Linked DNA regions of Coturnix japonica. The protein of the gene in region 4 interacts with the protein of the main gene of each other region in a pairwise test. Links are inferred from orthologs where the notes say so. Each region holds a gene or a part of one and is shown on either strand. Other genes may lie near its edges.

Region 1 (3,960 bases), on a different chromosome or scaffold from region 4:
ACAAGCAAATGGATAGGCTCAGTTCCAATACGGAAGACAGAAGGCCTGGAATGGAAGGTAATTCATTTAAATAGAATATACATGACAGTTTTGAAAGCATCGATGAAATAAAATTGCATAATGGAGGGAGATTAAATGAAATGGCTTTAGAGAGAAACAATTCAGGGGGTATCAGAGCCACAGAACAACCTCAAATGAAGATGGGGATTTCCTGAAGAAGAGGAGCTCATAAACACTTCCCAGCTTCCCCACATACAGTTCAAGCCTAACAGTTGCACATGAACTCAGGAATGCCACAAGAACCACTTTTTTAAATCATATTGCCAAACTAAAGTCAGCCTGAAAAGAATGCAGGGTGAGTGTAATGAAATCACAGTATCTCAAGTCTCAAGTGCTCCTGTTACTGTGTTCTCATGGAGGAGCTGTGTTGGCAGGATACCAGACTGACAAGGACAACCACCCTGTCTCGTGGTCCGCAAGGACAAGGGCTGCTGTCACAATGTCATCTTGGGGTAAAACTGCAAACCCTCCAAAAAAACACTGTGCAGCTAAAATGAACAAAAAGTCATGGGGAAAAATTAATTAATTAATTACATAATTAAAAATAAATAAATAAAAACATGAAGATGAAGAATATGTAGAAAGTTTTGAGCATTGTTGTCTCAAAATGCAAATTCCTTACAGCTGACTGGGCTCCTCAGTGAAGTGTGTGAGGTGAAAAAACTACTACAGAACAACACTGCTGATCACAAGAAATTCCAATTCATTCCTTACGCGTATACATGTTCCATCCAAGCCAATCAGAACACACCTACTGACTTCACCAAAGGCTGAATAAAGCCTCCAAAATGAGTGCCACTTTTAAACAAAGAACATCATCTTTGAAATTAAATTTGTTCTGAACCATTACTTATTACTACAGCCTTGAAAGCAGTAACGACACATTGCCATTATGTTTCACATACCTCAGTGAAAATCAAAAGCATTTGCAGGTTAAGTGCAAGACAAGCTTTCAGCAAAAGACTACACTGTTACAGGTTTCAGGAACCTGGTTTAACTTAATTACTCACTTTAGCCCTCAAGATCCTGCAGAAAATTAGAGAAAATATAATTAACTGCTAAATGTAGTAACTAACAGTCACTGCCAACATTACCAGTAATGGGTACACAGCACAGTAGTAATTCCTTTCAATGAAAGCAAATATTTCTTCAACATTTTTGAAGGAGTTTTTGCCTTGAAAAACAGCAATCATTTTTAGAAAAATAAACTGCACAGAAGCAGCACATATTTTGGGTTGGATCGGTATTCCATCTCCATTTTTATTTGGCCTCCCCATGAGTTAACGTGTTTTATTGTGTCAGATGCTATTTCCCACAGAAAGCTTGTAGATAGCCATCAGTAAAAATAGTAATAATCTCTACCAGTTCCTAAAATAGTTTGAGATTACAAAGCAGCCATCGTGGTAGCTTCTTTTAAGGATGTTTCTAATTTTCAGCAGTCTTCTTGTGAAAATTAAAATACTACCAGATGGTTCATGGGCAAAGAAAAAGCTTTTTCATTTGTCAAGTCAAACTTTTGAGCCAGCACTGTAAAGCCTACATCTATGAGGTACCGTTTTTCTGAGTTTCCTATTCTTTTCTGATACATATCCCCTAAACATTTAAAATGTAGATTCTGTATGTCCTATTCTCAAAAAATCATTCCCCTGAATAATAACATCCTGAACCTTGCATTAATGCAACATGTGTTGCGGTAATATTATAACACAACATGAACCAGGCCCCAATTTCAGTTTCATTCGGAGAACAGTTGTGAACTGACATTTTCTCAGTCAACACCATCCTCAACATGCTGTATAGAACAATCATTCCAATTGCAATTCATATGAAGGGGAAAAGTTACTTTTCAAACCCGCTTTACCTTATCATTTCAATGGGTTTTTCCTATAGCTGCATGTCAATAATAGTCTGTTATGTAGATTTGAACTTCTACCACCAAAGACTAATAGACAATAACCAAAGTTCATCTGCTTGACTTTCACCTTCTCTCTTTACAGCTATGTAAGTACAGCACACAGTTCTATTTTAACCAACCAGACTTCATAAGATTGGGCAGCAATTGGCAAAAATACTGCATTTTACTGGTGAAATCAGCCAAAGTGCTCTCAAGGGAGTCATCCTCCACATGAGACCCAACTTTTGAAACTTCTTCCTAGGCCTATGCTTCATACAGCTTAAGTGCTCCAAAAAACTCCTTCTTCCTCAACTAATAATTCAAGGTATCAGAGTACACTGTGCTTTTCTATTATTTGTGCTCTGAATTTGAGCCTAGGATGGGCACATGCTGTATGGCACATTTCTGAATTAATATGGACTGTGAATGTATATATGTGGTAAAAATAAAGTAAAAATAAAACCACTGAAAAGAGAAATGCAAATGTAAGAATGCAAACTATCACTGTCACTTACATCACTTATTATTTCACTGCATTTTCGGGCCAGCTCCATATTTCTGTCCTCAATAACAGGCTTGAGGAAGACCTATAAAAGAAAGGTAATCATTCCAGGTTTCTTGTCCTAAAAGAGTAACAAGTAAAGAAAAAAAATATATTTCTCAAAGCTATTGGGTTTAACTCACCCTTTCTTCTTCTCCATTCTCATTTTCATCCTCTGTGAATTCCTGAGTGACAGATACTCGCATTTTAATACTTGGAGAAAACAACAATGAAAACTCTAAAAAGGATCAGAGCTGCAGGAAACAGCTCAGACTCTACAGCATGCCTGGAATCAATGCTTCATTTGTGTCCTCCACTGCACTTAACTTTACCAAGGCTCCTTCCTTATTTAGGCAGCACTTGACAGTCTTTATCTGAACAATTCAGTGTGAGTGAACTGAAAGGCATAGCAGATGGCCTTGCTAGCTATCAGTTGCAGCAGAGCTAATGCTTTCTTACAGATAAAATATAATTAAATGACCTATCTCTGTCAACTATTTATAAAATGACTGTGAAGATATGTAATTAAAATACTGTGATTCAATTAATTCATAACATAAGTAATTTAGCAAAATTACCAGGTTTAAAAGGGAAACACCGATCCTATGTTTATGGGAGAACTGTGCAGATTCAAGGCATGCAGACTCCAAAACTAGTCATCACAAAATTTTATTACGTTGGTCCAATTAAAAAAATACACCATTATCATTTTCAAGGAGATGTTGCAGTTAGTATATTTACCAGGAAGCGGTCTTTTTCTATCAAGCATAAAAAATTTCTTAAACTTTTTCCATATTACTAATAAATACATGGAAAAAACACGAGAACTCTAAAAAGATTCAGACTTCCAGGAAATGGCTCAGACTCATGAAATCATGAAATCAGTGAAGTTAGCTGAAGTTTAAATCCGTGCACAGACAGACACAAATGCATCTGCATACTTACAAACATACATGGCTATGTATTTACACAGCCATGCAGATTCATTCACCATTAAAATTGTTGTGATCTCAAAACTAACCTTTCTCAATATGAAGTCCAGCTAATAGGAAACTGAAATACATCCTTATTCCAATGGATATGGTGTCACAGAGTTTGCATCTGTAAAACACGTAAGTACATATTACAGAACGAGTCAGAGTAACCACAATTTTATTACATTCTTTCTAAACCGTAGCATGTATATTTCTCATTTTATACAGGTCATGATTTTGAACTTCAATCTAGCAGATTGATTCACCACTAAAAGGTTTTGCAGTCAGGCAAAGATACAAGCAATGTGTGCTCTTGGAAAACCTCTTCAAAGCATACTGAGTACTTGAGCCCAAACACAATGCTTCCTAGGATCTTATTTAAAAACACACATTCCTGGGGGATGAGGTAGAATATGTTAAGAAAAAAAAGCACAAACTGCTTTCATGATTTCAGTCTATAATAATCAAGATGTAGTATTCATTATGAATTA
Region 2 (2,975 bases), on a different chromosome or scaffold from region 4:
TCACAGCACGGCCTGCATCACAAAGGCCCACAGTGCTCACCCAGCTCCAACCCCCTGCTGTGTGCAGGGTCACCAACCAGCAGCCCAGGCTGCCCAGAGCCACATCCAGCCTGGCCTTGAATGCCTGCAGGGATGGGGCATCCACAGCCTCCTTGGGCAACCTGTTCCAGTGCGTCACCACCCTCTGGGGGAAAAACTTCCTCCTCAGATCCAACCTGAACCTCCCCTGTCTCCGTTTCAAACCATTCCCCCTTGTCCTATCACTGCCCACCCTCACAAACAGCCATTCCCCTCCTGTTTATTCGCTCCCTTCAAGTACTGGATGCCCACACTGAGGTCTCCCTGCAGCCTTCCCTTCTCCAAGCTGGAACTGTGACCAAACACAACCTGAGCATGGTGCTCACGGTGCTGTGGCACAGAACAGTTCAGTGAGATAAGTGCTGCTCACACCAACAGCCCCGGGAAGCGTCAGGGAAAGGCAATAAGAGACACCACGGGGAGTTCTTCAAAATGGGACATTTTATTTCTGCCTTTTTGGGCTGAGGACTAACACCCCCAGCATGGAGCTGCAGCCTGCCCTGCCCCGCTCTGAGCTGTCACAGGAACGCCAAGTCCGCTTCTGTCTGTTGTCTGTGTGAGGCCCAGACACCCACAGTCCCATTATGCACCACTGGGTCCCTCGCTGACTGCACAGCCCTCCCTGCTGGCACGTTGCTCTGGGCTGGAGAAGCCTTCCTGCCTTCCTGGGGTGGCAGCAGCACTGGGCACATGGTACAGCCCTGCAGTGGCTGCTTGGCCTCATGCAAAGCTCCTTCAGTGCCATCCTTAGCAAGGGAGCAGCTGCAGCTGGTGGGTGAGCCCGGCACCTCGGTGTGCTTAGTCTGGCAGCATCGCAGTGAGGTCTCATGCAGTGTGTGTGTGTTGTGGGCAGAGCAGCTCAGTTCATTTCAGTGCTGTGTGTGCTGTGTGCAGGCCGGGCTGGCAGCTCTGTGTTCTCCCCGTGTATCTCAGCCCGGCTGTGCCGTCCCTACGCCTCCAGGTCGAAGTCGTCCCGCTCCTGGTTGTAGTCCAGCACCTTGACGCGCAGTTTGGAGGCGTCGGCCCAAGTGACGAAGTCCTCCATGGCGCGGGGCACGAGCACGGCGGGGTCGGTGACCAGGTCCGGCCCGACGCGGACGTGTCCCTGCTCCACGAAGGTGACGGCGTGTCGCATGTTCTGCGCCATGCGCAGCTTCAGCAGCACGCAGGGCAGGCGGCGCCGGCAGAACGAGGCGGCGCACACGCGCTCGCACACGGCCAGGGAGCGGCGCGAGCCCACGATCCCCATGGCGTACAGCTTGTGCAGCAGCAGCGCGGAGCTGCGGGAGCGGAACGCGGCGCTGGCCGGGCCCAGGTCCCGCAGACGCCGCGCCAGGGCCCGAATGTCCCGGGCCAGCGCCCGGTACCGCGTATAGTCCTCGCGCCGCCCCACGCGGAACCGCCGCAGCGCCCGCAGCTCCGCCACGTGTCCCGGAGCCGCCTCCCAGCTCACCAGCTCCAGCCGCCGCAGCAGCTTCTGCTCGTGGTACTTGAGCTTCCGCACCATGTTGAGCTGCCGCCCGGATCCACGCGGCGCCTTCCGGGGAGGAGCGACGGGGCACGGCCGGCACCGCCCCCACGGAGCGAGCGACGGGCGGAGCCGGGCCGGGCCGAGCCGGGGTGTTTACACGGCGTTCTGTCCCCAGGTCTGTCGGCGAAGGCAGCCCCGGAGATGGGCAGCGGCGGCGCGGACAGGGGCTACCGGATCCCCGCCGGGAAGGGCCCGCACAACGTGGGCTGCACGGACCTGATGACCGGCAACGCGGCCGAGGTACGGCACCGGGATGAGCCCGATGGACGGCGTGATTGTGTGCAGGGCTGATGTACGCGACCCCAGCTGAGCCTGCATCACATCCCGTCCCGTCCCGTCCCGTCCCGTCTCACCCCATCCCATCCCACCCCATCCCATCCCGGCGGGGCACAGCTCAGGGTCCAGCAGCCCCCAGCCGTGTGTCCCACGGGCCGTCCAGCTGTTGGCCCCATCCCGGCTCCCTCTGCCCGCTGTGCTCGGGACGGTCCCGCTGGGGGCTGGGGGCTGGTGGTGAGGATAAGCTGCTTCAGCTGCAGGACGGAGTGTGAGAGGTGAGATGGTGTCTGCCCAGAGAACAGGGTGTCGGTAGTGCAGGGAGACACCACGATAAGGCAGGAACGGCAGTACCATCTGCTGGGCTTAACTACGAGTTTCTGTTTCATATCCTCTTGCTTTTTCATCTTGCACTGCAGTTTTGCTCTCCAGGCCCGTGAGGTATCACCCAGTCACAGAGATAAGCCGTGGGTTTTGCTCTGCTCCACCTGGCTTCTCTTACAGCACCACAACGGGGCTGGTTTCTCTCTGCAGTCAGCCTTCCCTTAGAGCATTGAGCACAGTTACAATTCCTAGTGATGGCAATGGACCTTTCCCTGTGTTGTTCAGCAGTTGCTCATCAGGGGAAATTCACTGCGACTACCCTGGGGTTGAGTTAATATAATTACCCGTCTGGCTGAAGCTTTGCTGCTTCCTTCACTGCCCTTGTGTCACACGTTGGTGTAAGTTTAGGAAGTTCTTTGCTCTGAGAGTGGTGAGGTGCTGGAACAGCTGCCCAGAGGCTGTGGATGCCCCGTCCATCCCTGGAGCTGTTCAAGGCCAGGTTGGATGGGGCCCTGGGCAGCCTGGGCTGGTATCAATGTGGAGGTTGGTGGCCCTGCCTGTGGTGGGGGGTTGGAGCTTCGTGATCCTTGAGGTCCCTTCCAACCCAACCATGCTGTGATGAAGGTACAGGTGGAGCAGGTGTAAGTCTGACCTTTCATTGCCATACATCAATAAATTACAATCTTCCCTTTGTTTTTTTGCTAATTCCAGGGCAGCTTTTTGCGCCTGTATTATCCATCATGTGACGACACAGAGATTGAAGAGACGC
Region 3 (4,212 bases), on a different chromosome or scaffold from region 4:
ATGTCATGCAACAGACCCTGGTGACTTCACATAAGAAACTGTTCTGCCATCGCTGCATGTCTGAGTGGAAATGCTGAGCACAGCCCATGGCTGCTCACCAACTTCTTCCTCTTGTTCTGCTCTGTACCCACATTTCCAGGCAGCAGTTTGTTTAGTTACCATTGGGACCATCACCAGGGGTTCAACAACCATTCTGTTACACTGCTCGTTAGACTTGCAGATGGTCGGATGATCAAAGCACTGAATAAAGAATTAAGACTTCAGTCCTCTGACTGTACAGCAGCAAGCTCTTTTATCTGTGTCTATTAAAAACACATTAGGACAACGTGAATACACAAAGACACGTGGCAAACCTTGCAGATTGCTTCCTTCTAAAAACTGAAACCAAAGAGAGCAGTTTAAATCTGTTTCTGCTTTGTTGTTACATCGGGAATTTATCTGCAATAAGATGACTGGGGCTCCCCATACGATTCTGACAACATACAGCGTGCACAGCGTTATCACAGAGCAGCAAAGCAGGGCAGCCTCGAGGTTGTCTATCCATTGTTTCACTTGTGTTTATTCACAGGCAGTCATTACTGCTTTGTTTGGAGCTCCCCTCATGACAACATTTTCCCCATTAATGAACTGTCACACAATAAAAGCACAGTCAGTACAACGCATCCCTGCCCAGGATGAGAGCATCCAACACCTCCAGCATCACCAAGCCTGATGCTGAGCCCAACCATCAAACCCTGCCCTAGAACCTTTTCACTTCTGTGCCACATTCAGACAACCCAAAGCAACGTACCTTTGCAGTGTGGCTGCTTCTCATGCTCACACCAGCAGCAGCACTCAGAGCGGTGCAGAGGTGCTGCCGAGCCCTGGCGCTGTGCAGTCACTGTGTGTAGGACCCGCAGCTCTGCCAGCCCTGCCCTTACAGCACCCAGCAACGCGTGCAGGCAGTTCTCATGAAATACAGCATCTGCAACAGCAGATAAGGTGGAAAACAAAACAAAACAAAGCAGGGAAACCCTACGAGCATCGAGAACTGAGTCTGTCCGCAAGCGGAATTGTCCTTGAACTGTCACCAGCTTGCTGCAATTAACCACAGCCACAAGTGTCACCCTCCTTTTCTGCTGCCTGTTCCCGTATTTCTCTGTTTAGAAGTGTAACAAACACAAGAAAACTTCACACCACAAGAGGCTGCACAGCCCTCGATAGGAAGAAGGCTGCCACAATCGTACCAGTTCAGGATTCCTAAGCCAACTTTTCATGCCTTTCAAGGCTGTCTCAGTATTTTCAGCAGCATTATCATTTTTGTTGATACATAAAAGTGGCTTTGAGAAAACCCTAAGTATTACCATACGTGAGGATGAATTCTATGCGGATGACTCCTCATTGCCCTGAGCCTGTTGCACTCAGAGACAGCATCCTGCCCTGTGCCAGGCAGAGCAGAGTGGTTCTATGGCAGCATCCTTTCCTTTACCATAGAATGCTCTTAGAAGGAGCATTCCAAATATCGAGCAGAGTTGGGTTTTCTTCTCCCCAGCTTCACTAACAGAGAATTTTAAGAGCAGCAAGGCACCAACAAACAGCATCTTTCTGAAGGTCATTGCCCTGGAGACACTTCTGAATGTGCCCATTTGCAGGCAAGACCGGTTCTGTAAGGGCCAGGCTCAATTTACCTGGTCAACTTCAATGTTCTGAAACTTGAGTAAAAACATTCCACCCGTGTTAGGGAAGGGGAACAGAAACAGGTAGAGATTGATTATCTGTCCCAACCGTGCCCATCTCCTCACTGACTCTGAACTTTTCACTCAGACCTGACTTCCCTGCTTTTGGTTCAGTTGTTCAGAAGCTCCCTGAACTCAAGTTCAATTCAGGCCTTGAGCCTTTTTATACAATTATACCCCGCATACAAACATTTTTACTTCAGGCAGAATCCATCTTACTCAACCTGAAGCCTAAACAAAATGGTTTTGCTTTTGATATCTTGCCATGCTAGATTACAAGCTGCTCCCTGAACCACTTCGCTCCAAAGCCCTTGGATTTGTCAAGTAACAAAGCACAGTAACGAACTTAGTCAATAACTTGATTTTTGCTGGGAAAAGCAAGGCCGCTTTTTGTAAATACCTCCTGAAATCAAACTCTTTTAATCAAATCAACATGAACGTCCTGCAGCCAAGTGCCACTCTGTTCTCTCTCTCTGCAGCATCGTCTCTCACTGAAGTTCTGCTAAGACAAAAACAGAGGAGCTCATTTCAGGATGTTTCCTTCTTAACACATTGCATCTCCACTTCTGTGTTTCAAGACCAAAACAAGCAAACCGAGCTTGCAAAGAATTAAGGAATCTTGAAGTGAAAGCAAGAACATTGCTAACTTAACAACTTCAGCACTGGTTTAATATACTAAATACTGCTTTGAAAACGGAAGAGCCCAAAGGTCCACAGCAAACGAGTTCTAGACAGCTGTGTTACCAGAATTGGAAGGAACACTTCAGTTTAATAAAGAACTACCACTGCTCCCTTTAGCCAACTGGGGCTGGTACCACAGGGCTGCTTTGCTGAGCAGTGCAGCATGGGTTAACGACTGTGCCATGACTTCCCTTTTCCCTCCCACCAAGCTCCAGTTCTCCTTGTTCCTTCACCAAAAAAGCCAGCAGAAGCCATTAGATGCATGGGAGGCATGAGATAAAGGTTTAGGCATTTGATGCAGAGAACTGCTATGTCTAACACATTTGTTCTGTACTGCAGTATTGTTTAAGAATATTAAATTGCTCTTTAAAAGAACAGAAATGAAACATTAAACACTGCAAGTTTAAAACGGCCTGATTTGAATGCAGTGCAACAGAGTGATTCAGACTGTAACACATCCCAAATTCTATCCTTCCAATATTCTGCTTTTACATAGAAAACTAATACACTTCCTTTGTTATATATTAAATAATCCTTAAAAAGATAATCTTTATTTATATATAGACAAAAACCTGCATCCTTATCAGCCCTTGACAAGATACTTGGTGGCAATGGAAAGTGAACCCAACAGTGACAACCATACATTTAATGAAAGCAAGTGCTGAGCTTATGACTAAAGGAAACTTATTCCCAAATGTGAATCTGAAAAGCACTGTACCACACTATGCTGCAGATGGAATGCATAAAGGGTCTCTTAAAGCTACAGAGACCAGATAATAAACCTCATCTATAAGAACATGCAATGAATTTCCAAACGTACAGAAGTTTTAAGCACACATTTCTTGCTGCTCTGTACTTGTAATGAACACAGTAAGATCTGGGAAACTCCGACTATCAGACACAACAGGTAGAAGAAACAATGAGACTGTTTTTAAATTCAAAGTGTCTCAATTCCTGTCTAACAGACTGATGGAATGAGAACTCCTAAATGAAGCACATTTACATTTCCGACATACATATATGAAGAAAATCAACGTTACAAGTTTCTCAGAGGAGTTACTAAAGGGACTCTATAGCCAGGTTACTCTCATTTCCATATGCTGCAGCACTGCCACATTGAATAGCTTCAGTATGAATATTCCTTGAATTTACTTTAAAGATTACACTTAAGATAAATTGTAAAGAAGACGAGATTTCAAGTCTGAACTTTAATATCAGAACTAGAACACCATTTCTTCAATTCATCTAAACAATTTAAAACCACGTTTCAAATTCTTATGGCACAAAACCGGCTCAGAACCAGAGGCCCACTTGGCCAACTGAGGGAAAGAAACTGAAAGATATAAAAGAGCTTCAAAGCGTGAATCGGAACCGAAGATGGCTTAAGGCTTCATTAAAACATTCGCCGAGTTCTACCGTCGCTCGTGTAATCCATTCTTTAAACAGACTTTAGGGGGATTGCACAGATACAATGCAGAGCAAAACCGGCTCACACTGCCCAGTTTGAGCAAGATTTAGTCACATTATCTTTCACAGGATTCAGAAAGACAGGAGAATAAGTTTAATCCTTCCTGCAAGGATCATTTTATTCCACACCCCAACTCCTTGAGTAAAATCAGAGATGACTTTAAAAAAAAAAAATTAATGCCACGCACACTAATAAAAAAAATTAGCGTGGGGCAAAACTTCAGTTTCAGTATTTCAATATTTTTCTGCCCTCTGACAGAATCAGAAACACAAAACAAAAACCAGACACAGCGTAGCTCTCACTTAGGCATCTGTTGGCAGTACAATCAATAGAAGATGATATAAGGAA
Region 4 (3,500 bases):
TGGAATGCATAAACTGCACTGGTATGCAGTGCCTCTTCCAAGTCTTCTTGTTCTGCTTTTTGGGAGTAAAGGGAAAAAAAAGGTAATATAAAGCCAGTATTTTTTCTTTGAAATGATGTTTTGGGATCAAGTTTGCATGAGCTTTACTGAATGACCAATATTAAATGTAAAGTTACAACAGCGATAGCAATTTAGCCATCCTGTCACTTAAAACAGAGATCAATTGCTATGGGTCTATGTCATACTATCATTCCTCTGGGGAGAGTAAAGGAAAGGAAGAGAATGATCAAAGAGATGTATCAGGGAAGAATCAAATCAGATGCACACCTCTCTTGACTGAGTCAAAACTGTGTTTCAGTCATTCATCTGCCTTGTTAATAAACCTTTGCTAGCAGCCCTTACCCGCTGGTAACGTGGCAGCTTAAGCCAAACAGTTCTGCTAATCTCCACCAAGCTTGTTCCTTCAAAAGAAGCTTTACAGGGAAAGAAGTGGACAAGTGGAACAACGAACACCCAATTCCCTACTTACTACATTCTGAAAAGCAATTTTGAATACCCATTTGTTTGCTTTTGTAGTCAAGTTAATATCTTTCTGTCAGTTTGATGCAACCTACAAACACGCTCCAAATCCGCACAACTTCAGCAGAAAAGCATATAAAATATGATAAGACCTTGGATGACAGACTCAAGATTCCAGCCAACAGCGTGTAAGCAAAAGGTCACCAGTTAGGTGGTGCAATTCTACAAGGCAGAGGCACCGACACCCTGGGGCCATTGTGACTCATGAAATGGAAAGAATAGTTTAGTCATTTGCCTCTGAGTGCAGATCAGCCTTCCTACCATTAGCAGCTGCCCACTGAGTTAGTACAGGACACACCAGCCTCACACAGGAACCTTCTGCTCCTTAGAAGAAAAACAACCAACCACCCAAACCAACAAGAACAGAGAAAGAAAGAACAAAAAAAGAAAGCCACACACTAAAACAAGAAGACAGTGTACACAGGAAAACACACTCAACCCAAACCAACAGCAGAAAGTAGAAAACTCAGTTATACAAGTCTCGTTTCCTGTTTTCGTTAGCTTCCTTTTATTTTGTTCTTTCCATGCAATTATTTCTACTTCCTTCGAAATTGCAGTCTTTGTTGCAAAAGATCAGTCCACAAGAAGGGTCTCTATAATTGAAGACAGCCAACTGGAGTTAAGATGAATTGGTTAGAAAGAGAATAGCACGATGCATCACCACCAGAGTGAATGTTTCTGCAACATACTTGCTCTTAGGCGTGCTGGCCAGAATACTACTGCAGTTACACAATTATACACACTGGGAATATCATGAAAAAAACACTGCGTTCCTCCAGCTTTACTAAAATCGAAGTGCAACGCAGGATTGCTTTCCTAACTCCTTTCCCAACTGAGCTGCCACGTATTTTGAGATCACTTCACAATCCTTTCATCTTACTCAGAAACTTGCAAGCATCTACAGCAACAGTATGCTTTATTTGCAGTGATTCTCATATTTAACCCTGTTACAGACCTCGCACCCTGAGAATTGAGAAGCAATAACCACATCTGTCACACCCCTCTTCACCTACCTTCTACTGTCAAAGCTACGGGGATCTCTCCCACTCTCCCTATCTGGGCACGCTGGGCTCCAGCTCCAGGAGGTTGTGGCAGCGATGACTCCGATGCACCCCCAGTCTTGAAAGGATTCACCTTGGGTTTAGGGGCAACTACAGGTGCAAACTTCTTCTGTGGGTTGTAAAAGGACGGCGTGGAAATGTTGATATTGACTGTGGTTGTCATACGGGTCCCTGGGGTACCTGGAGAAGCCATCTTTTTGGCTGCTGGCAGGAGAGAAGAGAGAGGAAAGTGATATGATGTCAGACTTAGGTCCGAGTGGGAATTAATAGAAAGGAACATACAATGGGGAGATACAGGAGCTTGTGTCTGGGCAGAGGCCGAGGGGCCAAAGCAGAGCACAGAACACTTCAAGAATCAGCACAGGAAGAAGGAGGAACAGCTACTAAAGGCAGCTTGAATAAGCCAGCACACTTCCTTAGCTCAGCACAGTGATAACCACAAAGGGGTTTCTTATCATCCATGCGCTGCCACAGAGAAAACTAAGCTCCCTGCTGCTCAAAACCCCTCCACACACTATGCAGGAAGGAGCTGATGACCAGTGCAAGCATCTTCACCCAGCATAGCAAACCCTCACACTCCCTCTTCCACGACTGCAATCTGCATTCACTCTGCCCCACTTACCCGCTAACGTCATCTGCTTCTTCTTGTCCTCAGCCTGTGACACCCCCAGTAACACCCCCTTATTCCCCAGCACACCCCTGCATCTCTCATCCCACCCACTTTACCTCCAGACCCTCGTGTGCAGGCAGAGGCAGAAACACCAGGTCAGGTGAGGGGTTCTTGGTGTCACATTCCCTGGCAGGGCCCTCTGCTTTCTCCCTCTTCCTGTAGCTGCCGATGAAGGAGCATCCCCTGACCCTCACTGGCTGAGCCAGCCGCCTGCTCCGCCTCCACCAGGAAGCAGTTCCAAGGGCTCCGGGCAGCATTTCTGCGGCCGTGCGACTCAGCATCTTCAAGGTAGATCCCTCAGGCTTGAGACCAGAGCTCAGCTTATTTGGCCATCCTGCCTGCGGGATGGCCAAATAACTCAGCTTTGTTCTGAGAGCAGGGTGAGCACTGCTACGTGCAGCCCTGAGAGCCTCTCCGCCCTCCCTCCTTTCTGTCGCCAAATCTGAATAAGCATAGACTAGCCTCGCCAAGCCAGCTGTTTCAGGAGCCCGAGGGCCACATATCCAGCATTCCTTCAGCCCTGGAATTCAGGTCAGAAATTTCATCTGTGCTAGAAATCTCAAAGCCAGATGCTTTGTTGTAACCCCGGCATGCCTGCAGTCCTAACACCCCATCCCAACAGCTAGCACCAATAGCCCAGGGCTCTATTGCTAGCATTTCAGAGCAGTGCCCCTCCACTCTGCATGCAGACAGCTGGCTGTGATAGCTGCTAGGACAGCCTTGGTGTCACCAACCTCCATCCACCACTAATCACCCATGGCTGCTGCTGAGAGCCCTGTGCTCACTTCTACATGCTGACGTGTTTCAGACCCACCTGGTAAGATGGACCTGGTAACAGCTTACAAACACACGATAACATAAGTCTTTATTTCCCTTTGCGCAGGGCTGACACGTTGCGTGTGCTTTGACAAACAGCTCTGGGTTCCTCCAAAAACAGTGAGCAGCAGACAAAGAGCTGAGCAGAGCATGCCCCATATGGTCCTGCATGGGAAAAGGCCAAGGCAGAAACGCAGTCAGCAAGGTCTGTCACTGGTCCCTCACATTGCTGGGAGCCAGCAATCAGAAGGGACTGATCAACTCTACAGCTTCTACAGAGACCTCCAGGCATTTTTGTTACAGGCTTTTGCTGATGGAGGCACTGAGACTGTCTTGTGCTTCACTGTCACAGTGCAATGAATCTCCTGCTACAG

What was found.
Region 1: the proteins of ZYX (region 4) and NEBL interact in a two-hybrid assay, tested with the Homo sapiens proteins (2 studies listed by BioGRID and IntAct). The link is inferred for Coturnix japonica from reciprocal best matches to the Homo sapiens genes ZYX and NEBL.
Region 2: the proteins of ZYX (region 4) and IMP3 interact in binary tests that used the Homo sapiens proteins (3 or more experiments, as listed by UniProt). The link is inferred for Coturnix japonica from reciprocal best matches to the Homo sapiens genes ZYX and IMP3.
Region 3: the proteins of ZYX (region 4) and CASS4 interact in binary tests that used the Homo sapiens proteins (3 or more experiments, as listed by UniProt). The link is inferred for Coturnix japonica from reciprocal best matches to the Homo sapiens genes ZYX and CASS4.

Annotation. Positions count from the first base shown.
Region 1 is NC_029517.1:16,578,769-16,582,728, reverse strand, and holds the start of NEBL (nebulette), read right to left. Parts: upstream 2,801-3,960; 5' UTR 2,702-2,800; coding exon 2,639-2,701; intron 2,542-2,638; coding exon 2,470-2,541; intron 1-2,469. UniProt on the Homo sapiens protein: Binds to actin and plays an important role in the assembly of the Z-disk. May functionally link sarcomeric actin to the desmin intermediate filaments in the heart muscle sarcomeres.
Region 2 is NC_029518.1:100,140,899-100,143,873, reverse strand, and holds IMP3 (U3 small nucleolar ribonucleoprotein protein IMP3), read right to left. Parts: upstream 1,634-2,975; 5' UTR 1,586-1,633; coding exon 1,028-1,585; 3' UTR 501-1,027; downstream 1-500. Other genes in the region: PLA2G7 (platelet-activating factor acetylhydrolase), read left to right, coding at 1,725-1,849, 2,918-2,975. UniProt on the Homo sapiens protein: Component of the 60-80S U3 small nucleolar ribonucleoprotein (U3 snoRNP). Required for the early cleavages during pre-18S ribosomal RNA processing. Part of the small subunit (SSU) processome, first precursor of the small eukaryotic ribosomal subunit.
Region 3 is NC_029535.1:10,845,571-10,849,782, forward strand, and holds the start of CASS4 (cas scaffolding protein family member 4), read right to left. Parts: upstream 2,801-4,212; 5' UTR 815-2,800; coding exon 791-814; exon of another isoform or gene 1-790. UniProt on the Homo sapiens protein: Docking protein that plays a role in tyrosine kinase-based signaling related to cell adhesion and cell spreading. Regulates PTK2/FAK1 activity, focal adhesion integrity, and cell spreading.
Region 4 is NC_029516.1:69,750,120-69,753,619, forward strand, and holds part of ZYX (zyxin), read right to left. Parts: exon of another isoform or gene 3,125-3,500; intron 2,599-3,124; exon of another isoform or gene 2,524-2,598; intron 2,478-2,523; exon of another isoform or gene 2,367-2,477; intron 1,845-2,366; coding exon 1,593-1,844; intron 1-1,592. UniProt on the Homo sapiens protein: Adhesion plaque protein. Binds alpha-actinin and the CRP protein. Important for targeting TES and ENA/VASP family members to focal adhesions and for the formation of actin-rich structures.